4 linked regions of the Arabidopsis thaliana genome follow. The protein of the gene in region 1 interacts with the protein of each later gene in a pairwise test. Each region holds a gene or a part of one and is shown in the gene's direction. Other genes may lie near its edges.

Evidence for each region.
Region 2: the proteins of FBH3 (region 1) and AT1G16640 interact in a two-hybrid assay, tested with the Arabidopsis thaliana proteins (one large-scale study listed by BioGRID).
Region 3: the proteins of FBH3 (region 1) and AT5G54360 interact in a two-hybrid assay, tested with the Arabidopsis thaliana proteins (one large-scale study listed by BioGRID).
Region 4: the proteins of FBH3 (region 1) and AT2G31730 interact in a two-hybrid assay, tested with the Arabidopsis thaliana proteins (one large-scale study listed by BioGRID).

Annotation. Positions count from the first base shown.
Region 1 is NC_003070.9:18,941,845-18,948,779, reverse strand, and holds FBH3 (basic helix-loop-helix (bHLH) DNA-binding superfamily protein), read left to right. Parts: upstream 1-2,967; 5' UTR 2,968-3,166; coding exon 3,167-3,677; intron 3,678-3,956; coding exon 3,957-4,249; intron 4,250-4,364; coding exon 4,365-4,520; intron 4,521-4,626; coding exon 4,627-4,692; intron 4,693-4,776; coding exon 4,777-4,845; intron 4,846-4,933; coding exon 4,934-4,978; 3' UTR 4,979-5,333; downstream 5,334-6,935. Other genes in the region: DEG6 (DegP protease 6), read left to right, coding at 1-99, 253-410.
Region 2 is NC_003070.9:5,683,583-5,689,148, forward strand, and holds AT1G16640 (AP2/B3-like transcriptional factor family protein), read left to right. Parts: upstream 1-2,942; 5' UTR 2,943-3,180; coding exon 3,181-3,246; intron 3,247-3,612; coding exon 3,613-3,951; 3' UTR 3,952-4,145; downstream 4,146-5,566. Other genes in the region: AT1G16630 (uncharacterized protein), read right to left, coding at 1-1,167; AT1G16650 (S-adenosyl-L-methionine-dependent methyltransferases superfamily protein), read left to right, coding at 4,412-4,534, 4,613-4,708, 4,813-4,896, 4,991-5,065, 5,415-5,519.
Region 3 is NC_003076.8:22,068,823-22,074,182, forward strand, and holds AT5G54360 (C2H2-like zinc finger protein), read left to right. Parts: upstream 1-3,039; coding exon 3,040-3,852; downstream 3,853-5,360. Other genes in the region: AT5G54350 (C2H2-type zinc finger protein), read left to right, coding at 1,313-2,098.
Region 4 is NC_003071.7:13,486,022-13,492,528, reverse strand, and holds AT2G31730 (basic helix-loop-helix (bHLH) DNA-binding superfamily protein), read left to right. Parts: upstream 1-2,849; 5' UTR 2,850-3,190; intron 3,191-3,837; exon of another isoform or gene 3,838-3,933; 5' UTR 3,934-3,935; coding exon 3,936-4,052; intron 4,053-4,161; coding exon 4,162-4,227; intron 4,228-4,304; coding exon 4,305-4,370; intron 4,371-4,456; coding exon 4,457-4,501; intron 4,502-4,578; coding exon 4,579-4,746; 3' UTR 4,747-4,979; downstream 4,980-6,507. Other genes in the region: AT2G31740 (S-adenosyl-L-methionine-dependent methyltransferases superfamily protein), read left to right, coding at 1-110, 192-316, 409-489, 564-638, 746-912, 1,002-1,152, 1,273-1,476; AT2G31725 (FAM136A-like protein (DUF842)), read left to right, coding at 5,138-5,266, 5,688-5,825, 5,900-6,082.

The DNA of each region.
Region 1 (6,935 bases):
GTATTGATAGTGAAGAGTTTTGGGAGGATATAAATCCTTTGGAGCTCGGAGGCATACCTTTTATCGGTGAAACTGTCTACGCTTTAGGTTATCCTCGTGGTACGTCTTGAACAATGCTAAATTTTTTTCGCACTGAGTACAAATTAGCTGGCAAGAAAAAAGCTTTGACATATGTGGTATTGAGAAAAGAATAGCAACCATGATTCACTTAAAGAAAATGAGTTATTATAGTTATGTTATGCGCAAATACAGGTGGTGATACCATATCGGTCACAAAAGGTATTGTAACGAGAGTTGAACCTCAAAAGTATTCTCACAGCTCCATTAAAATGTATGTATATACCAGTGGCGGATCTACAAACAAGTTTTATAGCGGTCAAATAAACAAAAAAATTTATGATGGACGATAAATTAAAAAGTTATATCAACTAAAGGGGTCATTTGGAAGTTAGAACAAATTTATAGGGGTCAAACCCTAATTTTAACCAAGTATTTTTTCAAATTCAATCAAATTTACATTAAAAATAAACTAATATGTAAAATTTATAGGGGTAAAGAAGAGAAGAAGAGTTGTGAAAGGAGAAGAAGTGGATGAGTTAGGTTGTCGTAGAAGAAAGCAGAAGATGAAGCAAAAAGATCATTGGGCCATGAATCTTATTAAGGCCCATAATGCTAATGGGTTTCGATATTTAAGTTAAGAACAAAGTAGTAAGCCTAAGCTCATTAACATTTCAGTTGGTTTAGTGAGTTTATTACTTTGGTCGAAATGAATGTACATTATATGTGTTCATTGAATTATAAGTTTTTAAAACAAAATTATGCATGCACTTTTCTAATCAATTGTAACTACACTAGATATTGACCTGAATATAGTTCAATGAAACTGAAACTGTTATTTTAAAACCATATATAGATTAATCAATGCATACTAAGATTTCAAGAAAAAGGGACTAAATGTGCTGAAAAAAGCTAAAACCAAAAAGACTTTTTGAAGACATTTTTTTTATAAACAATAAGAAAGTGAGAAAGATTCTAAATTGGTGGCTTACTATTTCTAGGAAGAGGATCTTCACGCCTAAGTTCCACGTGAGATTGTGCTTCTTCTGTTGTATTCCACCTCGATTCTCACATTCTCAAACCTTATCTTATATTTATGGGTATTGTTTTCTTTGTTCCAAAGTAACGAGTACTTTCTTGACACCAAAATGTTTCCTTACAAACAAAATATAGAAAACGATTAGAATTTATATTTAGCTTTTGCTCTGCAGTTTCTATTCTATGTTAACAACCCAGATCTAAAAATATAAAAGTTGCTAAATTCATTGCTGATTTAGGATTTTAAAAATACTATATAACAGCTTCCTGAATTCATTAATTAGTTTGTGAAAGAAATCCAAAATTTGTTTTTTTCTTGAGGATATCACCAATTTTTTAAAACTGAAGTACAGATAGATTACAAGCGTTTGATATTTTTAAGTATAATTAACGCCCAAGGCATTAATCGGTATCAAACTATTTTGCTGCATAAATATTTTGTTTTTTGATCCACTAACACAAACTGTTAAAAAAATTAAAATAATTCATTGGTTGGAATTGAATCTCTTACTACACTACAATAACGTTTAGTTAAAATGACGCTCAAATTACTCATACAATATTTTTCTTCTTAATTGGGCAACCAATTATAAAATTATTTTTCAATTAATATGTGATTAAAAAAATTACTCATGTAGTCATATTAATTTGCCGTGTAAAACTCTTGTTTCATGGATTGTAACTATGGCCCGACTCTGATTATGTCCCTTAACATGAATATAAGCACTTTATCGATTTGAATTCGGTTTGGTCATGGCCGGCCTTCCGCATAAGCCACATAAGCGGCAGCTTAGGGTCACATTTTTTTCCCCTTTGATTTTAAGGTCCACTTTTGATGAATCAAGAAGTTACATTGCACTACCATGTCATATATATTCACATTTCTGATTTTTTCTACACATATTTATATAAGTATTTATCTTTTTTCTATTAACCAGTTTGTATTTCATCGAATAGCAAGAAAGTTCAATACTATTCGACTCTCAAGTGTTTTTCCAAATCAAACACGCAAATACGACATATTAATTGAAGTGGATAATGAAATTTGAATTCGGATATGTATTAGTAGTTGTTGTTATGTACAGTATTTTGTAGATTAAATAGCACTTGGTCTTTAAACTTTAAACAAGTACTAGTATTATACAAAAACGTAAGTACAATACGTGTCCTATATTTTATGCGGAGGTACATACGTGTTTAAACGTGAATAGTTGGATTAAGTCGCTTGAAAGGTTCCCTAAAATTTGGAGCCCTAGACTGCCATATCAACAACACCTGTCTGATCCTCCAACTATTTTCATTTCATTTTATTCTTCTTTTTATATTTTTGGATTTTATTTATTTTTTTATAATTTATTAATAAATATTATAGTTTGTTTTTCTTTTTAAGTTATCCGTCATTTCAATATACGTCATATCGACATATGTCCTTTTTCTCAGCCATTTTTATTGCTTTATAAGTCAACAGCTTTAATTCCCACAATTATATATAGTCGTCGTTTTATTTTATTAAAAGTTCTGAATCATTTCAATAATTGCTGATTTTAAAATTCATTTATTAAAATTAAAAATAAGATAAAGTCCAAAAAACATTAAAAAAAAGCTGCTGATATTTTTCTTTGAAAAACGAGAAAAATCATTTAATAGCCACACTGATTGGAAGTATACCAAATTTACAAAAAATAATAATCACATCGAAAAAAAAAAAATTGACATCAAAATATTTTTCTCGAAAACAATATTTATTTTTCACTGTTACATAACATTATAAAAATGTTAACGTGGTCCCCACGTGGCCTACACGTGTCAGCATCAAGGGTTCCACTCGTAATAAGAAGACACCATAAAGGGTATTTTAGTCAAATCACAAATAAATCCCAATCTCTACCTGCCCTCTGTTGTTTCTTCCTCTCCTCTTCTCTCTTGCACATAAGTTTCTCTCACGTTCTCTTTTTTAATTTTAATTTCTCGCCGGAAACAATCTCATCTCCCGGCGAACGAAACTTCCGGTGTGGTACTGCAAACGGAGAAAAAAATAACCAAAGAAGAGAGAAACTCAAAAGCTACTAAGATGGAATCAGAATTCCAGCAACATCACTTCCTTCTCCACGATCATCAACACCAGAGACCAAGAAACTCAGGATTGATTCGTTACCAATCAGCACCAAGTTCGTACTTTTCGAGTTTCGGTGAATCAATCGAAGAGTTTTTAGATCGACCCACAAGTCCTGAAACTGAGCGAATCTTATCTGGCTTTTTACAAACCACCGACACAAGCGACAACGTTGATAGTTTCCTTCACCATACTTTTAACAGTGATGGAACTGAGAAGAAACCTCCGGAAGTTAAAACAGAGGACGAAGATGCTGAAATTCCGGTGACTGCGACGGCGACGGCGATGGAGGTTGTTGTTTCCGGTGATGGTGAAATCTCAGTGAATCCTGAAGTATCGATTGGGTATGTGGCTTCGGTTTCGAGGAATAAGAGACCAAGAGAGAAAGATGATCGGACTCCGGTGAATAATCTAGCTCGTCATAATAGTTCACCGGCCGGATTATTTTCATCCATTGATGTTGAAACAGGTTTGACTCTTTTCTTTCTAGTTTTAATTAGAAATTATTTCCTAATCTGGAAACTTTTTCTGGTAACTTTTATGAGAATATACTTAGGATTTTGATAGGACTATAATGATTTTAAAGCAACTTGCTTGTTTTGGTCTCTGTAGATTGGATTCTATTGATTTGCTATTTATTACAGATATTATCTGCAACTAGTACTTTGTTAATCACTAAATTTGGTGATGAATGAAAAGTGAAGTCTTTTTGAATCTTTTGTTCTGTTTTTTCTTGGAAATTTTGCAGCTTATGCAGCTGTAATGAAAAGTATGGGAGGTTTTGGAGGAAGTAATGTGATGAGTACAAGCAATACTGAAGCTTCGTCTCTTACTCCTAGAAGCAAGTTACTTCCTCCTACTTCTAGAGCGATGAGTCCGATCTCTGAGGTTGATGTTAAACCCGGTTTCTCGTCTAGATTGCCTCCTCGGACGCTTTCCGGTGGGTTTAATCGTTCTTTTGGGAATGAAGGGTCTGCTTCTTCCAAGCTTACAGCTCTTGCTAGGACCCAATCTGGAGGTCTAGATCAATACAAAACCAAGGTATGAACTTATAATGAGAGACGTTTTGCCATTGAAACCAACTTCTTGCGGTTGAAAATTCATTCTGCTATTGTTCTTGTTTGATTGATTGTACTAAAGAAATTCAATTTAACAGGATGAGGATTCAGCAAGTAGACGTCCTCCTTTGGCACATCACATGAGTTTGCCCAAGTCTTTATCAGATATTGAACAGTTACTGTCAGATTCTATCCCATGTAAGATCAGAGCCAAGCGGGGTTGTGCAACTCATCCTCGAAGCATAGCCGAGAGGGTAAATCTTTCCCCTTACTATTATGCTCTCAGTGGCATTGATTCCATGATGATATAATATCAGTTTCTCCAACGATTATATATGTTTCCAAAATGTTGTGGAACAGGTGAGAAGAACCAAGATCAGTGAAAGAATGAGGAAGCTGCAAGACCTTGTTCCAAACATGGACACGGTTAGATTATGCGATCTTCCTCTCTCATATTCGTACTTTCATGTTCTTTGCTCAATGTATTTATCATCTTCAATTGATATGCAGCAAACAAACACAGCAGACATGTTGGATCTTGCGGTTCAATACATCAAGGACCTGCAAGAACAAGTGAAGGTAATGATCTCACTAGTGTTGCATACTAATCACTCTTGAATCCCTTTGTTCACTCTGTAAGAAACTGAATACTTTTATTTTTGGTCAGGCGCTCGAAGAGAGTCGGGCAAGATGTAGATGCTCTAGTGCGTGAAACTAGAAGTGGGAGTATGCGCGAGTGCTAGCCAGGGAGGGAGTTGTGCATAGAAGTATCGGTTCGGCCTTTGGAGAAAAGTCGAAGATAGCAAAGTAGAGAAGAGATCATGAACAAAGCTAAATTTGGTGGTGGTGGTGAAAAGGGTTTTTGTAAAGTTGGAACCTTTTTTTGGTAGGGAAGAAAGTAGCAAGGTTGTGTAATGGTCCGAACTCCAATGCTATTGTATGTTCTTACATCCAAAAAAAAGAAAAGCAGAAGAGAAGTGATGTACAATGAGAAGCTTATTTTATTGTAACTCAAGAATAATTCAGGTAATTAGTTTATTTTCTTTTGTTAGAAACTTAGAATCATCAACAATTTCATAAATCTTGAACATATGACTATAATGGTAAAAAAGACCAACTAACTAAGATAAGTTGCTAGCTTAAAGATAATTTCATAAATCCACAAACTTTTATCTTAGATAATCAAGTAGGTGCTCGAAACATGATACGACGATTCAAGAGTTTGTTATTAAACTTTTTGTATTCATTTTTTCTTCATCTAAGTATCCAAAATCGAAGTTTAGTAGTCTCCAAGATCTGTGGAAGATGTGGTAGTCATATTTTTTACTATTTAAATTATTTACAATGGTTGATCTCCTTGACATGTGGAAAAATGGTATCTTACAAGTTACAATTTAAAAACATTCATAATGGTCAATCATGATATTTGGAATGAATCATTAAAGCTTGAATCATACATTAACTTCAAATTTTTTTTTCTTACTCATTCTTCTTTGTTATAGAGCTGAATCCAAAACTACATTTAAGACGTTCTATGTGAACACACATATTCGCTCCACTTTATCCGTTTTCTTCGTTCCTATTGTTCATATGATAATCTGTATAAAATCAAGGAATATTCTCTATATTTTAGAATTAAATTTATCATTATTAAAAATGTTTACATATTAAAACTTAAAGTTTTTGAACGAAACAAAATCTATAATATTTCTTTTAATTTGATGTTATGAATCGACCCTACGAAGCATATACATCACAGTCCTTAAGTCTTGTCCAAACAAAAAAGATGGGCAAAATCTTGCCAACATTGATTATTGTTGGGGACCATGTCTTTGTTGTTTCTTTCTTTGCTCTTTTTAGGCAGTCATGTGAAGGTGCACTAAGTTGTGGGAGTGACACGTGACAAAGATATTGTAAAATTTTGCTTCTTAAGGTTACAAGTGTTAATCATCAGCTTAAAACCAAAAAGGTTCGTTAGGTAAAAAGGTATTACGATATGATTCCTAAAACGATAATGCGCATATTAATGTGTTGTGTCCTTCTGAAATGCTCTAACATGTCCATTATCAAATTCTTATCCTTTTCACATTACCACATAAAGATAACACACCCTTTACGATTACTTTTTAGTCACGATAAACTAAGTTGATTTAGTTATTCCATCTTTGGATCGCGTATACAATTCACTTGTTTTTTGCAATTGCCGGATATTGTGTACCTACTATTTATATTATCTGCTTCCGAGCTTTGAGGCCATAAATTATTGTCAATTTTAGACAAATTAAACCAATGTGGTACAACATATTTTTTTAGTTATGAATTAAAAATATGTAACAAAATCTAAAATTCGTAACCTTTATATTTATACGGTATAAATTCATAACTAAAAAAATATGTTGTACCACATTGGTTTAATTTGTCTAAAATTGACAATAATTTGTTAATTTGTTACATATTTTTAAGTCTAAATACAATAGTGTAAGTAAATTTTTACAAAAACCTATGACGCTTAACAGCGACAACAATACAAATTAATTATACTTGTCAAAACGATTTGCAAATAAATGAGTGATTATGATTAACCATGAGATGTTTAATATACAAGAACCATAAAATTTTCACAATTCAAGGTCAGGCTCAAATTTTGAATTACAGCCCAACAACAACTA
Region 2 (5,566 bases), about 13 Mb from region 1:
GTTAAACTGATAGAAAGGTGAATCTGTGATGGTTTGTTGAGAAAACGTCGTTGAAGAAACCAACAACAGATACGCCACACCAAGAGCCAAAATCCAACCAAGCAACATGGATGTCTTGCTGAAACGAGACTGTTTTGAAATCTGATGAGTTTCTTCTTCTTCAATGCTTTCGCCAACTACTACTTCTTCTTCTTCATCATCACTCTCTACAGCTTCCAAACGCTCTTCACCATCAACATCCAGAATTTCCTCTGCGGCTTCCAAACGCTCTTCACCATCATCTTCTTGTTCTTCTACTGCAACTACACCTTCCTGAGAAGCAACTTCCTCCTCTTGTTGACCTTCCTCCTCTCGTTCTGCAGACAAATCAGTGTCAGAAGAAGAGCTTTCAGAGATGAAAAGCTCCTCAAGCTGCTTGCACTCATCAGAACGATGCTCAATTTTTGGATTTGGCTTATAATGGAGAAACTGAGGCCTCGGTGACAAGTAATTCTTCTTTGGATCATAAGGTGCCACCACTGGATCCACTTCATGAGACTCAAACACAGGAAATGTGCATGGAACATAAGGAGGAAGAGGACTGATCTTGAAGCTTGAATTATCATTACTCTTCCTCTCAAGAATCTCATCGAAATCACTGACAGTAATATCATGTGATTCCTCTTCACGAAGCTGCTTAGTTTCATCGATGCAAATCTGGTCTACATCTTTATCTTCCCCAATGATGCTTATCACATCAGAAAACGAGACAGACGACTTTACCTGAACCTGGTGATGGGATTTGTCAAAGGATCGAGACACTTCGTTTTTATCAGACAAGATCTTCTTCCTCGGCGATGGATTGATCTTGGAAACGGCTGAAATTGTCGGTGACATGAAATGCTTGGAACCTTTTGTTGGACCTTTGACGACATTAGCGATTTGATCCTTGTCGTTCTGATTCTCTTTATCACCAATCTCAACACGATTACTGCATTCTCTACCGATTGAGTTTCTCCGGGACGGATCTGCCGAAAATGGATTGCCTCGGAAACTGCGACGCATCAGATCTCCGGTTTCCGAGTTTCTTTGCTTAGGGTTTGGTCTGGAAGGCATTGAAGGCGAAGAGGAAGAGAATAGAGAAGAAGGAGAAACAGAGATCTTGTTCTTTGCTGGAGAAGACGCCATGAATGAAAATCACTCCGGAAATCAGAATGGGTTATTTAACAAATCTCAGATTTTTTGCGCTCGTTAAAGGAAAGAAAATATGCAAGAATCTGCAAGATTGTGAATGTAAAAAGTTCCTAAGTTTTTGAATTTTTAAAAGAGAGAGAGATAGAGAGATCGTAACGGCTAGTTGCCAATTTGCGATTTATTTATACATAGTGGATAGAAAAATCCCTAATAATTTTAAGTATTGCAAATTGATTCTGATTTTGACCATTTTTCACTGATACCCTAGTTTTCCAAATTTCTGTTATCTCCCCATAAATTTAAGATCTATCTAAATGCCCCATGCTTATTAAAGACTTCACAACGTAAGATTTGATTCCTCTTTCTTCCTGTAAAGTTGTTAAATTTATAAACGTGGATATTTATGGACAATGTAGAAACAGTGGGAAGAAATTAATGATTCTCAAAACCTTGGGGTTCAAATTAAAACAAAATTTCAATTTCTGTAGCCGGAAAATAGAGCAGACGATGTAACTGGGCCGCCACGATGATGACACGTCTGATCGCAGAGAATAAACTAGCCGTTATGGGCTCTCGTAAAGGGTAAGAGACGTTAATCAACCTATTAAAAAGACAGGTAAATCAGAAAAGCAGGCTTTGGGCCCGTCCACTGATGGAAAAAGTGAAAGCACCAATTATGTTGAAGGTTTTTACTTAACGGGCTTTTGACTGACATTAAAGAAAATTTGGTCATCGGCTAACTAAATAGGCCCAGTTTACATTATTTTCTGAGTTCCAATGAAATAAAATCCTTTTCTAAAAGTCATCCTCAAATACCACATCTGTGTGAACCTCATCGACACAAATCAGAATATCTTTCATAATTTTATGGATTTATAACTTATTTTGCGATTATCTGCGAAAGTGATTAATTAAGATGAGTGTTCATGTTGCAGAACTAATCGTTTTCGGAATAACTACCATCAAAATAGTTCTAGACAATTGTTACAATTACGTTTCTAGATTAATTTAGTCCATGAGAATTGAATTCTGAGGGGATTACTTTTCCTTCTTTCAGGCCAAATTTTTGCTATTGAATATCAACCTGTTGATATGAGTTAAATCTGCATTATGACTTATGAACGCAAACGAAGAAAAAAATACCAAATCAATTTAACAACAGAAATAACAATCAGAACTTTGGTATGAAATACTTAGAACCAAATCAACCAATGATGAATTTTTCTCAATCGATTTAAGGCAAATTGAGACAAAACTAAAAGATCCGACAAAATCCGATTCTGAGAAAACAAAATCAACGATTTCATACTAAAAGAAAAGGATTTAAGGGAGAGCGAGATTCAGATGGTAGTGCATGATGGTAAGATCATCAATGATGGTCAGAGTTGGATTGTTCTATGGAATCATCTTTCATCATCATTATCACCGCTCTCTCCTCTTTATTAAGAGTAAAACATCGACTTTAAATCTAAGAAAACACAACACAATAGACAAAATAACTTCTAAATTTTTCCCTAGAAAATAGTAATGAAGCTTCGAGAAAACACTGAATTTCTAGAGCAGACGCTGTTTCGAAGAATTCTGAGTCGTACATCAAAAGATTTGAGGTCTTTAAATAGTGGAGAGAACTCTAGGGTTTTAAGTTGGATCTTCTAGGTCGATAGGATTTGTCTCAGCTCGTTATTGGGCTATTGGGCTGTATAATTTGGCCCAATAGTAATAAGAGTTTGGTTTTGTACTTTTTGTATGGTGTGGCCTTGTAGAATAGAAAAGCAGTGATTGGTCAAAAGGTGGCAAGTTGTTTGACTATGACATCAATTCCTCATTTCATCTTTTTGATTTACAGAGAAAATTGAAATAGTCCACTCGGGACCATTGAAGCTCTCTCTCTGTTTCTGCATTACAAAAAGTGTTTGTTTTCAAGGTTTCTCTCTTTCACTTCTCTTTGTTTTCTTCATTTCAATTTCTGGATTTTGCTTGTAGCTACATTTGGTCTCACTCTATTCCATGGCTGACACTGGTGAGGTTCAATTTATGAAGCCTTTCATCTCAGAAAAGTCATCTAAATCATTGGTGAGCATGGCTCTCTATCTTTCTTCTTTTTTATTTTCTTATTTCAACAAGTTCAAAATATGTGTTTAGTGTTCTGATTTGGAGACTTATGGTTTAGGGTAAATTGCTTTAGTTCATTTTCATGGAGCTAATAACTTAGGTCCTTTAATTGCTTTTGTTAGCTTTAAATTAGCAAAAAGCAAATGAAAGCTTACTGAATCTTGCTAGATTTAGAATGAAGTTTATGTGTTGGTGTTGTTATAGGCTGCTTGAACCAAACATTTCTGCGGGGCTGAAAAGTGAAAAATAGCAAGTCCATTGTTTCTACGTTGCTGCTCTTGGAATGTCTCCTGAGAGTTGTTTTTTTATATATAAATGTTTGATTAGGAAATCCCCTTGGGATTCAACGAATACTTCCCAGCACCATTTCCAATAACTGTGGACCTCCTGGACTATAGTGGGAGATCTTGGACGGTTAGGATGAAGAAAAGAGGAGAGAAAGTGTTTCTTACAGTTGGTTGGGAGAATTTTGTAAAAGATAACAATCTCGAAGATGGCAAGTATTTGCAGTTCATCTATGACCGCGACAGGACCTTTTATGTTATCATATATGGTCATAACATGTGTAGCGAATATAGAGACTTCCCTCAAGTCGCAGTAGAGGTTGATGACTATGAAAACGGTGAAGAAGAAGAAGACGGCGACGATCAAGACAAACATCAGTAACTAAAATTTGGGTCTACTTTAAGTTGCTTTAAGTTTAAGTAGTCAGTTTTCATGTTGGATTTATGTAACCAGTTGTTTAGTTTAAATATTACGAATACTAGTATTTGCTTTCTGCTACATTCTTTGGAACATGGTTTAAAAGATTTACTGTGTATTGCTATCATTTTTGTGATAATTGTATTTGGTGAAGTAGAGTGTTAATACAAGAGAATGAGAGGAAGTGTAGGAGGGGGCATGAGTCAAAACCTTCCGGTGCAGTTAGAGTCTCTTGAAGACTCGGCCACGTGACAATATGGGTGTATTGACAACAGAATAAATAAATGTGGGCTAAATTGAATAAATTAAAATTTACGAGGTATTTTTAGAAAACATTTTGACGGTTAAAAGCAAGTGTTTGCTGTTTGGTTGGCTTTTGGCGGCGGAAACTAGAATCGTTGCTGCTACTCAGGTCATCGGGATAATGAAGAGCAATAAGTTTTCTTGCAAAACGAGAGCCGAAACCCTAGAATGGATCACAGCCATTATCGATTTCCTTAAACCGTTTTCTTTCCTAATCAATGCTCACGTTGTCAATTTCTTCAAGGTATGATCGATTATCGGAAACAATTTTAAATTCAGCTTCGAGTTGGGTTATGAGTTGATTGATGGGTTTGTATTCCAGGATAAGCAATGGGAAGCTGTTAATGAGGAATGGATGAGTTGCTTAAAGGATGAGAAGCCGGAAAATATTCTTCTTATTCCCTCCGGTGGTGTCCAGGTAAAGTTCTGGTCTCAGTCTTCATGATTGAGATATTTGATAGAAAGGGTAGATTTTTATTTTAGTTTGGAAAGGAGATGATTGATTATAGTATTTGATTATAGGATCACTGGCCTGCTTCACTAAAGAAATTTGTTCACACGTTGAGGTCTCTATCGTTTCCTCGAGAGCAAGCGGATTTACAGGCGGTATTGTATTCTCTTTACCTGTTTGTGCTGTTTCAGGATTAGTATTTTTAGATCCTAGACTAAATAAAGTTTAATCATTTTCGACTGTTGGCAGATACTCGCAGACGTGGATATGGTACCTCTTAGCACCGTTCTTTCACAGGGCATGAATCTTAAGAAAAAACATGAGGTACATTTTTATCTTCACACTTCACTATCCAGAGGTGCAAGTCGTGTCTTTCAATGATGTCTTGTTTTGGTAGGAATTTCAGTAGATTGCATCTGGTGACTAATCCCAATCCAAGAACCTTAAATTCAAAAGAGAGTATATATTTTTTTTGTAGCTGTTCAAGTCTTTTTACCATCAAATTCTGGCAAAGTTATCTGCCACTTCACGCGTAAAACATGAAATTGAGGATCATTAACAGCTCATAGCATTTTATATAAAAGTTTCTTAGTACAAAACTTATGTTTGTTTAAACGTAAGGTATTTGTCAAATGTATCTTATACTGGCCACTTCATTTGAATGGATCTGTAGGTCACTTATTATGGTATCATGCAGGTTGAAGTTCTTTCCTCTGTTGTTAGCTCAGTTGTTAAGAGTGTTGGAGCTCCTACTGTTGTTGATGTCGGTGCTGGCCAGGTATCTTCAATCCCTTTCTCTTGTTTAACTATCAATCTTAATTGCAT
Region 3 (5,360 bases), on another chromosome or scaffold:
GTATTCTGTAAAGTTCATGCACCATCAGTATTTAAAATTGTATTCATTTTGGGTATTTCCTAGTAATTAGTAAGTATATCGAAAGTAAATAAAAAGGAAAATAAACAAAAGAAAACATAGAAAGTAAGAAACTGAAAACAACATAATTAAGGAAACAAAACACAATTTCTATCTATCATTAAGTCAGGATAAGAAAAAACAAGAATAAGTAGTAAAGCTGACTAAGACATAGCTGGAGTTTGTATGTACAATGACTCAAAATTTAACATTCTATATACAATGGTGTGTTTCCCTTTCTTTGTATTTGCAATTATCATATATATATATATTAGAGAAAATAAGTGAAAAATAACATCATTCCATATAATAGAAAATATAATCTTGTATTACTTAGCTTATTAATACATTTTTTTACATATCAATTAATATTTTTTACATATTAATTGCTATATGAAATAACATGAAGTTACCAGTTTGCAACGGTCGATATAACGAACTGAAGCGTAACATTTTTAAAAAAATTGAAATGAGTTAGTGTTTTTTTTAATTTACTTTTACACATAATGACGTATACTATAACAATTATAGATATATTTTAGCTAAGTAGATAAATTTTAGATTATACAAAGCCAGTTGGTATGCACACAAAATTATTATTTTGGAAGACAAAATGTATAAGATCACCATGGTTAGAAAAACAACCATATTTTCTATCTTTCATTGGAGTTATATATAACACATCATGTAAACAAAATCTAGTCAAATTTGAAATATATTAATTAAATTGGTGTATTTTTAACATATGAAGTATCATTTTAGAAAACAGAAAGAACAAAGTCAAGATAACTAGAGACACACGTACTTGAAATCATGAGTAAATAAATATTAGATTATACAAAGCCAGTTGGTACATAATGCACACCAAATTTTAATTTGGAAGACAATGTATAAATCAACATGGTTAGAAAAACAACCATAACTTTTAAAACTATGGATAATTATTCATAGTAGTTATATAACACATAACTTCATATAAACAAAATCTAGTCAAATTTGAAATATATTAATTAAATTGGTGTATATTTAAGAAAGAAAAAAAAAAGTCAAGATTGTTAAGAGGCACAACTATTTCTTTTAAACAAAAAACAATGAATTCAAAGTAGATTTACTGTTACAATTAATGCTATTTGCTCTTGGAGATTTTATACCTTAGCGAGTGCAACACAGTAATTAAATCTCTCAATATATACCATACGTCTCCGGAGAGAAGAAATCACTCACTTCTAATTCTCATCAAAGTTTTACAAAAAAAATGGAGAACCAATCTGTGTCTTCTTCAAGCTCCTCCACCACCCCAAAAAAACCTGATCAAAAACTCAAAAGTGCCGTTGTGACCGTGGAAGAGAAGGAGACAATGAACAATCCGGAACAAAGGCCCCCTCAAGAGGTTGTGTTTGAAAACACGATCCCTGACCCTGAGTTGCCTGTTTTCACATTAGAAGTTGTCCGAACGGAAAGAGATAACGAGCTAAAATATCCTCCAAAGGATAAAAATCTCGACTCGGTGCTTTCTGGTGGTACTTCTCTTCCGCCTTTCCAAAGCTTTCCAGTGCCCTCTTTCGGCCTCTTTGGTCCAGCGTATGGCGGTAGCAGCTCAACTAATGATATTAATCTGGATCTCACTCTTGGTCCATCTTCTTGGTCTAACACTAACCCATCTTCTTGGTCTAACACTGACCCATCGTTCTATCGAAAATTGTTCACTCCCGTGCTACCTTGTGTGCCTAGAAACAATTTTGTTGCTGGAAACCCGGTTGGTTCAAACACTAGGTATATTCCTCCGAATGGAAACAACAATGTTTGTCATGATTTTTTTTTTTTACAGGGGAATAGTTCGGCCTCTACTCACTCGAAAAGTCTCTTCTCAATGGGAAAGAACCAAGCCATGGTGCGTCATTTTGCTTTATCTTATCCAACCACCTATTATTGTTATGATTTGTTTTCTTTACAAGGGAATGGTTCGGGAAACTGGCCACTCAAGTCTCATCTCAAAGTGGGAAAAAAAGTCAGGGTGCCTCCTTTGGCTCCTCCCTATTGAAACAACAATCATGATTTTTTTTCTTTACAGGAGAATGGTTCGGGATCTAGTCACTCGAAAAGTCTCTTCTCAATGGAAAAGAACAAAGCCGTGGAGCCTCCTGTTGCTCCTCCTAATGGAACCACCGATCTTCTGTTTCCTTCACCCGAGAATGGTTCGGGCTCTAGTCACTTAAAAAGTCTCATCTCAAAGGGGGAAAACAAAGTCGTGGTGCCTGAAAATGATGATGATGATGATGATTATACTGATACTACTATCGGGAGGATAAGGTGGTTGAACAAGAAAAAAAGATCAAGACCAGAGTAGTAATTTATCTATGTCCCTTTGATTTTTCAGTTTTCTATTGAGGCTTATGTTCACCTCTCTTTTTTTTTTCATGCAATTGTTTCTTCGTTTCGTTTCAAATAATCTCTGTTGTTTCGATTAATTCATCAGTCCCTTTTGTTCAATTCCTATATCTCATGATTGCTCTAAAATTCCTGCAATTTTCAGAATTCATGGCCCAATTATTCGTAAGCAAACGTTATTTTTTCAAAAGGTTAAAGAGGTTAAAGAGACATTAAAGAGACAAAATGTATAAAATCACCATAGTTAGAAAAACAACCATATTTTTAAGAATATAGATAACTCATAGTAGTCATACGTAACGCATATGAAGAATATTGATTATATTGTTGTGTTTTTATCTTATGAAGTATCATTTTCTAGAAAGAAATTAAAGAATAAAGTGAATGACAGTTGTAGTCTTGGAGAAACAATTATTGCTTTTAAACAAAATTAAGTAGTTTTACGGTATCAATTAATATTTGTTACCCTTGGAGATTATATACCTTAACGAGTTAAATACAATAATTACTATCCTCTCAATAAATATCGCCTCTAAGCAAAGAGATAAGACATCACTCACTTCTAACTGTCAGCAAAGTTTTACAAAACAAATTATGAACAACCAATCTATGTCTTCTTCAAGCTCCTCCTCCCCACACAAACATGATCAAAAACTCAAAAGTGCCCTTGTGGCCGTGGAGGAGAAGGAGACAATAAACAATCCGAAACAAAGGTCTCCTCAAGAGATTGTGTCTGAAAGGACAAACCTTGAGATGCCTAGTTTCAGATTAAGTTTTTTCCGAAAGAAAAGAGATACCGTGCTAATACATCCTCCCAAGGATAACAAGATCAGCCACACCTGTCGTTTCTGCAAGAGGAATTTCAAAAGCTGTTTTGCCCTAGGCGGTCACATGAAGTGCCACAAAAAGGAACGAGAATTGGAGAAGCAGCGAAAGATAATCGAGGATGCGATGCTTTGTGATAGTACTCCTTTCACCTTGCAAAGGCTTCCTGTTGGCCCTTGTAAGTATGGCCAAGGTGGTAGCTCACATGCTTTATCAACTGATGGTATTAATCTTGATCTAACTCTTGGTCCATCCAAGTCCACAGGAGGCAGCAACAATAGCACTAATAACAACACTAACTCATCGTTCCATGGGAATCTAATGACTCCCGTGGGTCCTTGTGTGCCTAGATACAGTTTGGTTGCTGGAAACCAGGTTGATTCAAGCAATATACATGTTCCTGCTTATCCAACCACCGATCTTTGTTATGATTTTTTTGCTTTACAAGAGCATGGTTCGGGCTCTAGTCACTCAAAAAGTCTCATCTCAAAGGGGAAAAACAAAGTCATGGTGCCTGAAGATGATGAGGATATCGGGATGATAAGGTGGTTGCCCAAGAAAAAAAGATCAAGAGGAGAGTAGTAATTTATCTATGTCCCTTTGTGTTTTTCAGTTTTCTGTTTTCTATTGAGGCCTATGTTCACCTCTTCTTTTTTTCATGCAATTGTTTTTCTCTTTTTGTTTCTTTGTTGTCTTTTTGATGATTTTGATGTTTCGATTAATTCATCAAATCCCTTTTTCAATTCCTACATTTCATGATTGTTCTTAAATTTTTGAGATTTTCAGAAGTCATTTTCGTAAGCGAACTTAATTTTTTCAAAGGTTAGAGAGAATCTGCAATTTGCTTAAAAACATTAGTTAAAGAGACATTATCTCTTCATTGACAATTTGTTAGCCTTGGAAAATTGAAAAAAAAAAATAAGAGGCAGAAAGAAGGTCTATCTGATCTTCTATTGTTGTAATTGTAACCTCACAAAAAAAAAAAAAAAAAAAAAAAAAAAAAAAAAAAAAAGAGGCAGTGGTTTCCTTTTGACGATTAGGGTTTCGCTGGTTCCAGTTTGCCCGGTTTTCTTCCTTGACCCAGATCCGATTTACTAGATTGTATTACAAATGTAATCATCTTTCAGGATATTTGTAACAAAAAGATACAACTGTTATCCAATAAAACTGTTATTTTTTTTATGTATTAATATAATCTTGTAATCCTAGTAAGAATTTATAAAACTTAAAAACCTGTAAGGCTGTAACTGATGTTTGCATCTCCATTCTCCAAAGATCTTTTCTATTGAACAAAAATCAAAACTATTTTTGTTTCTCTTGTTCAAGAGAAATCTCCTTTTAAAGATAATTTCCTGAAGACATTTATTCCATAGTATGAAGATCGAGGTCTAGAAGTTGATAGTATTGAAAATTGTCTATTGGATCAACTGGATTGTTTTCTCAAACAAATGAAAGTCAATATTGAAAAACACAAGTGCTTTTTCTTCCAAGCAGGAGATTGATAATTTTGCATTTGGAGCTTGTGCAGATCATTTATATATTAATTTAAGTTCGTGAAGATTTAGGTTTATGGTTGTAGATACCTCACACAAAGCTTACATAGTAGTTACATAGGAATAATACCGAACATCGTCGCTTCATTTGAGATGTTGGGTTGATAGACCCAACAATAAAATCATCCTAAAAGAAGTAAGCTACGTACTTATTATTTATAAAGGCTTGTCCTCCTCCCTTCCTTAAAGCCAAAGCCAACTCTTTAAGTCTCGCTCTCACTGCTTCTGGCGAAAGCTCAAGTTGAGGATGACCTCTCAGAAAATCATCGCTTCCATTTCCATATTCCTCAGATTCAATCTTCTTAAAGCACATATACAATAGCAAAACGGAATCTAGAATTTTATATTATAAAAATGTTGCCACGATTTTTACCAATATCTTATTCAATGTCGACCAAATTAACTATTGAAACCCTAATATCACTGCTTTTATGGAAGTTTGTTTTTCTTGTTCAATCATCGTGGTCTAGAAGTTGATAGCATTGAGAGTTGCTATATGATGAAACTTTATAGTTTTTGCTAGACAATGAGAGTCAA
Region 4 (6,507 bases), on another chromosome or scaffold:
GTCTGAAGCTTTGCTTGTAGAGGATGGTGAGATTCTTGAACAGTCTCAGAAAGAAAAAACTAAAAATGTTTCCCAATCGAAGCGAAAGGGAAATAAAAAGCAAAACCAAGGTAAAAATCGTACTTCTGTAAGTGTTTTGATACATTTCAGGTGAAAAGTTTCATGATCTTTTTTACATGTATCCATTTCAGAACCGAGCAGGCCTCTTATGAGGGTCTCTCATGATTATCTGGCTAGCTCTTACCACACTGGAATTATTTCTGGATTCACATTGGTATCTTCCTACTTGAAGAAGGCTGAGTCATGCGGAACGATGGTGAGCATTATTAAGTTGTGGCCTCACGGTGCAACCGATCTGAATCTTTTCTTTGCCTTGTACTGATCCAGAAATGTTCTGATGCTTTTCAGGTTAAGACTGTTGTAATTGGTCTTGGAGCAGGATTACTTCCCATGTTCCTCCATGGATGCTTGCCATTTTTCAGTATTGAGGTAATTTCAGTTTAAAGGATTAATCAAGTTGAGTATTTTCTATTGCCACTCATATTCTGTATCCTGTTGAATAGGCGGTTGAGCTTGACCCAGTAATGCTTAGTGTTGGCAAGGATTACTTTGGTTTCACACAAAATGATCGCTTGAAGGTAAAATTCTCCCTCTTTACAACAAAAGTGCTGGCTAAACTTTAACATGTTTATATTCTATTCTATTATATGCACCATCACTCAGCTCGTTCGCATTCTTATAATAGGTGCATATTGCTGATGGGATCAAATTCATTAGAGATATAACAAACTCTGAAGCTTCGTCTGAGGAATCGTCAAACATTGGCTCAAATGGAGATTCAACCACTCACAATACACAAGGTGGAATTTGTCCTGACATTTTAATTATAGATGTGGATTCAGCAGATTCAAGGTAAAAGACATGGCAAGTAAATTCACATATCTATGAATTTACCCACATGGTAAGCCTGATTGTTTTCTTGTTTGATCTCTTGTCTGCAGCGGCGGATTAACCTGCCCTGCATCTGATTTTATCGAAGAGACATTTCTTCTTTCGGTTAAGCAAGCTCTCCCTCAGCACGGTCTTTTCATAGTGAATTTGGTCACGAGATCACAGTCCGTCAAAGATATGGTAGTATCAAGAATGAAAAAGGTAAAGCAAATGTGATTCATTCCTTGTAAATTCTCTGCATATTTTCACAAATCTGATCTGATACTATTGCACGGAAATTGAGTCATAGAATTGATCTCTATTGTTTTGTTTTTTGCCAAGGTTTTCGATCATTTATTTGGCCTGCAACTAGAAGAGGAAGATGACGTAAACGTAGTGCTCTTTGGGCTTTGCTCTGAATCTGTAATCAGCGAGAACGATATTCCAGAATCTGCAGTTATACTGGAGGGATTGCTCAAGTGCCAGAGATTGGAAACGAAGCAAAGCATCATAGACGCTACAAAGAAGCTGAAATGCTGGAAATAAAAACATTCTTTATTATTTCGTTTTAAAAAGACGTGTGAGATATATTTCTGTTATAAGTTAAGATTGAAATTTTTGAGACTATATTATATACAATACACCTAGTTTCGTCCATACGCAAATGGAAAATGAAGCGTGGAGTTTTTTTCATAACCTTTATGATTGTTAGACCTACCAACTTATTGAAGCATTCAATTTGGATGATAGTGAAGTTGGAATGTAAGTTAAACATCAATGTCTTGATTAATTTTGTGCATTTTTGGGAACTATCCGTATTGTTTCTGATTTGAGTGATCTTCCTTATTGTTGCTAAGAAATGCTCGAATGGTGATTAGCATAATTGCTGTTTATTCATTGGAGCTATAATAATTATGGTTGTAATATTGTAATTTGGGAAAGAAAGCCTTTGATACAGGCCGATTTTGGTACGTACGTAAGAGAGATATAAATTGAAACACCTAAACCAAAATCTGGTCGCCGCGAAGACAAAAGAAAAACATTTGTGGCAAAGAAACAAATTCAGAAACCGCGTGGGTCCGATATGGAACGCTGATCAATTGGACATTTGTAAACATTTCAAATATTTTGCATGTAATCAATATTGTTGTTATATTTTTTGCCTTTTAGTTATAGTTAGGTTTGTTTTTTCTGTTTGTTTGGTTAGATTCAACTATTTGTTTATGCTTTTCAATTTTGGGTTAGTATTTAGCTGTTTACTTTGGAGAAACAAAAGAAGATAGATTCTGTTCCATATAAACAAAAAGCTGTGTCGTTGAAACTTGAAAATGTGAATATACTCGGATATCAACCAAAGGGTACGCTGCATTAACCAACCTCCCTCGTAGAAAATTTCAAAGAAAGGATAACAAAACAAGAAAAAGCACAAAGTTGAAAAAGAAGTGACAGATGCAGAAGAATTGGTCAAAATCATTTTGACAAAACTACATAAAAAACAATCAAATGTCACTTTCAAAATTATTAGCTTATTTATTATTTTATTATGAAAATAATGAAAGCGACTTCTATCTGGGACTGGTAAAAGGACCTCTCTCACCATTGGTTGTACATTAGCTGTCAAATTTTTACATTTCCATTACATTCCCTAACTCCAAATATATACACTAAACTAAATTCTTCAAGTTACTTCCTAATTACTACTATAGTAATTATTTCCTAACCGTCAAATAGTACTGAATAACACATATAATATAGTTTCGATTGATTAAGAGATTTGAATTAAACAGAATAAAGTTTTACGATTATATATTCTAACAATTTATTTGTCTCACAAAAAAATCTATAGATTTAATGAGAATTAAATGAAGAGGACGAAAGGAAAAACAAAATGAAGAAAAAGACATATGAAACGTAGTCCCCTCTTTTCTTTGCTTTCTTCTCTACATAAAACTAAAACTCCTCTCTTTCACGACCCTTTAAGTAACGACGCCGTTTTCATCCAAACACAAACCTCTGGAATCGTGTCACCGTTGGAGCTCCGGCTTCATTAATGGCTTTCTTCAAGACCTGAAGACAAAAGAAAGTAAAAATATATATACACTAGAGAGACCAAGATCCTCGTTTATGGGTTTCATCGTGTCTTGTGCTTAGGGTGACATAAATACCCATTTAGAGAGCTTAGACCAAGAAGTTTTAGAGTTTGTGAAGTTACTTGTTGGTTAGTCTGCTGTTTCTGGCAAATGCTGAGTCTCTTCTCTCTGTAAGTTCTTTTTTCTTCATTTACTCTGTTTTGTTCCCCATTTTTGGTCTTTTTGACTTAACTTAGAGTATTTTAAGGCAAAATAAAATCATGAATCTTTTGGTATTTTTTGTTCTCATCTTCTTGTGGGGTTTTTCTATTGAAGTTTGCTTAGCTTTGAATCTTGTCTAATGGAGCTAACTCGATCCAAAATAAAAACACGTATAATGATTAACTAGTTCTGCTCATTAGATGAACTAAATTAATGAGTTAATTCCGTAGTTTCATGCATCCTACAATGTATTGTCTATGTATGGAAGCAAAGTATGATATCATATTTAAACATCTATGATTGTGCTACTAAACTTTAAATAATACTTTAAGCTGATGTGATCTTATATGGATAACCTCTGACCATTATCTACTTTCTTTGACCATTGCTCTTGTTTTCTAATCCAAAAGTCGTATCTTCCAATGCATTAGTTGGTCCAAACCTAGATTTGCATCCCTTAATTTGTAGTAGTTAACATCTAATTTTGATGTTAAAACCAAGACACCACTTTGTTTGTCTGGTCTGAGAATATCTCAAGGCGTATAGTTTTGTCCTTATGACGCTTGCAAAAGCAAGTTGTTGAGTTGTAATCTTATGTTTTTTTCTGCAACTTGCCTTGGATGAAGCCATGAGATTATCTTTATAAATGGTAGCAAGTAAACCGGTTTCTTATGTCGAAAAACCGATCATTTTTGTTTTGTTTGATGACAAGGAATGGAATACTCTAGAGACTCGGCAGAGATGATGATGGAGACTAAGCGCAATGTCTACTCGCTTGAAGATAACAAAATTAAACGACACAAGTCATCTGATCTCTCTTTCTCTTCCAAGGTCTTGTGATACATCAAAATCAAAATTCATTGTGGCTATGAAGCTACCGGACATTTCTGTACCAGCATGCTAATGATCTTGAAACTTTGTTGTTCTGTGGTTTAAACAGGAGAGGAAAGACAAATTAGCAGAACGTATTTCAGCTCTTCAACAACTAGTTTCCCCTTACGGAAAGGTACTACTTGGTCCGAAATAATCTTTCTTACACGCTCTTTGTCTTCTCTAGCCATGTTCAAGTCTCTATCTATGCAGACCGACACTGCATCAGTTCTTCTAGAGGGAATGCAATACATTCAGTTTCTTCAAGAACAAGTCAAGGTCTGCTCAAGTTTTCTAATCAAATACTTTTCATTCATTCACCTCCTCCAATCCAATGATGATTATGCTTGATTTTCTCTGTTCAGGTTCTAAGTGCTCCTTATCTGCAAGCAACCCCTTCTACTACAGAGGTGAGCTGAATCTATGATCTGGATCTCGTTTACTTGGATCACAATGCAAGACTGATATTTTCCATCTCTGTAACTAGGAGGAAGTGGAAGAGTACAGCTTAAGAAGTAAAGGGCTATGTCTTGTTCCATTGGAGTATACATCAGAAGTTGCTCAAACCAATGGTGCTGATATTTGGGCTCCTGTGAAGACTCCAACATCTTCTCATGCTTTTAATCTCTCGTCTTCTAATTCGCCCTTTCAATGAGCTGCTGCTAAATTCTCTGTCTCAAGACTAATGAAAATTAGCCAAAGCTTTGGTCTGATCATGTATTGATGGAGAGACCTTGAAGTCGGTGATGGCTGTTTCTGTTATTTTTTACTGCTTAATCCCAACTCTGTGGTGGCTTCTTGTAACAATTGATTCTAATGCGAAGTTTAACGGACCGGTCAATGACCGGAATTAGCTTCCTGTTTAATAAAGTTTGAATTGGTGAAAAAGAGTTAACCGGTTTAGAGAAACCCGGGAAACTTAACCCGACCCAAAATTGTCAAACCCGTTTTGTTTGCGGCTATTGAAGGATCTTCTATTGAAGAGAGCAGCTAGCTAAAACCCTAAAGCCCTAAAATCAAAATTACGCTAAACAGAGAAGGCGACAATGGATCACATCGCTGCGGCGGAAGAGCAAATCGTATCGGAGAGACTTCGAAGAAAGCTTGAAGAAGTTAATGTAGCTGCTCAGACTCAGCTTTCTCCTATCCAAGATCACATCAATTTCACCCTTCAGGTATATACAAAAATCTGTACTTTTCGCGAGCTCAGCATAAATTCTCTCTGATATAACAATTTAGCAATGTTAGCTTCTGAATATGGAATCTTTATTGGTTTGATACAATGCTAGTTTCAAATTTGATGAATTGAGTAGGTTCATGAAAAAAGTCTGAAAATTTGCATTTGGGTTCGTACTATATTCGTCTTTAGACACTATGGATTAGGTTCACGACAATTGCTCTGGTTTAATTACTATATTGTGCTCTGTAGGATATTCGATAAGTAGGCGTGTCTCGTTGCATAACAATTGCTCTGCTTTGTCTTCAGAAGCATGAGAGTTATTAACACCTTCTCTTGTGTTTTTGGGTTGCTATATTGAGTTATATGATCCGTTGATTCAAATTAATTAAACCCTGACAACGATATCATTGTTGCAGCAAGCTTATTTCAAATGTGCATATGAGTGCTTTGATAGAAGAAGAAAGCAAGAGGAGATAAGTAACTGCGTCGAGCACTGCAGTGTTCCCGTTGTCAAATCTCAACAGTATTTCGAGAACGAAATGGCTCAATTTCAGGTAAAGATATCTGCTAAAAGATGATACATAGTTTGCTGTGTATAAAGACTGATTTTTGTTGAATGAATGTATAGGAAAGATTGAACAGATCACTGGTGGTGTGTCAAGACAAGTTTGAGGCCTCAAAGCTCCAGAAGATAAGGCCTGAAGCGGTTAACGAGATGGAGAGTTGTGTGCACAAATCCATTGAGGAAAATCTCAATACATTACCACATATTGTGCAGAGAATGAAGACAGCATTTAACATAACCAACTAAAAGCTCTCGTGAAAAACCTTGGATTCCAGAACTTGACTAGCCATATTGTTTGAAAAGACCTTTTCTTTTGTCTTAATATGATCTACAAATTTGTTTTCCTTTTTCTTATATTAAGTTTTAAAATTTGCCACTGTTTTGGAATAACTGTATTTGCTTGTTCTTCATCTTCCCTAGCGAAAACTTTAAAACTCTATAAAAAAAAATTGAGGATAAATACATGAATTTAAAGATTGAACCGAACAAAAGAGACTAACCAATAGAATAGAAGCAAGTAATTTAGTGAATATCTAAAACTAATATAAAAATATATAGAGATTATCACTAACAAAAAAAAATAAAAAATAATAGAGAGTTATATATACCTTTGTTCGTTTGTGAAAGGAATTGACAATCAGAATCATATAAAAGCAAGACTATAAACTCCT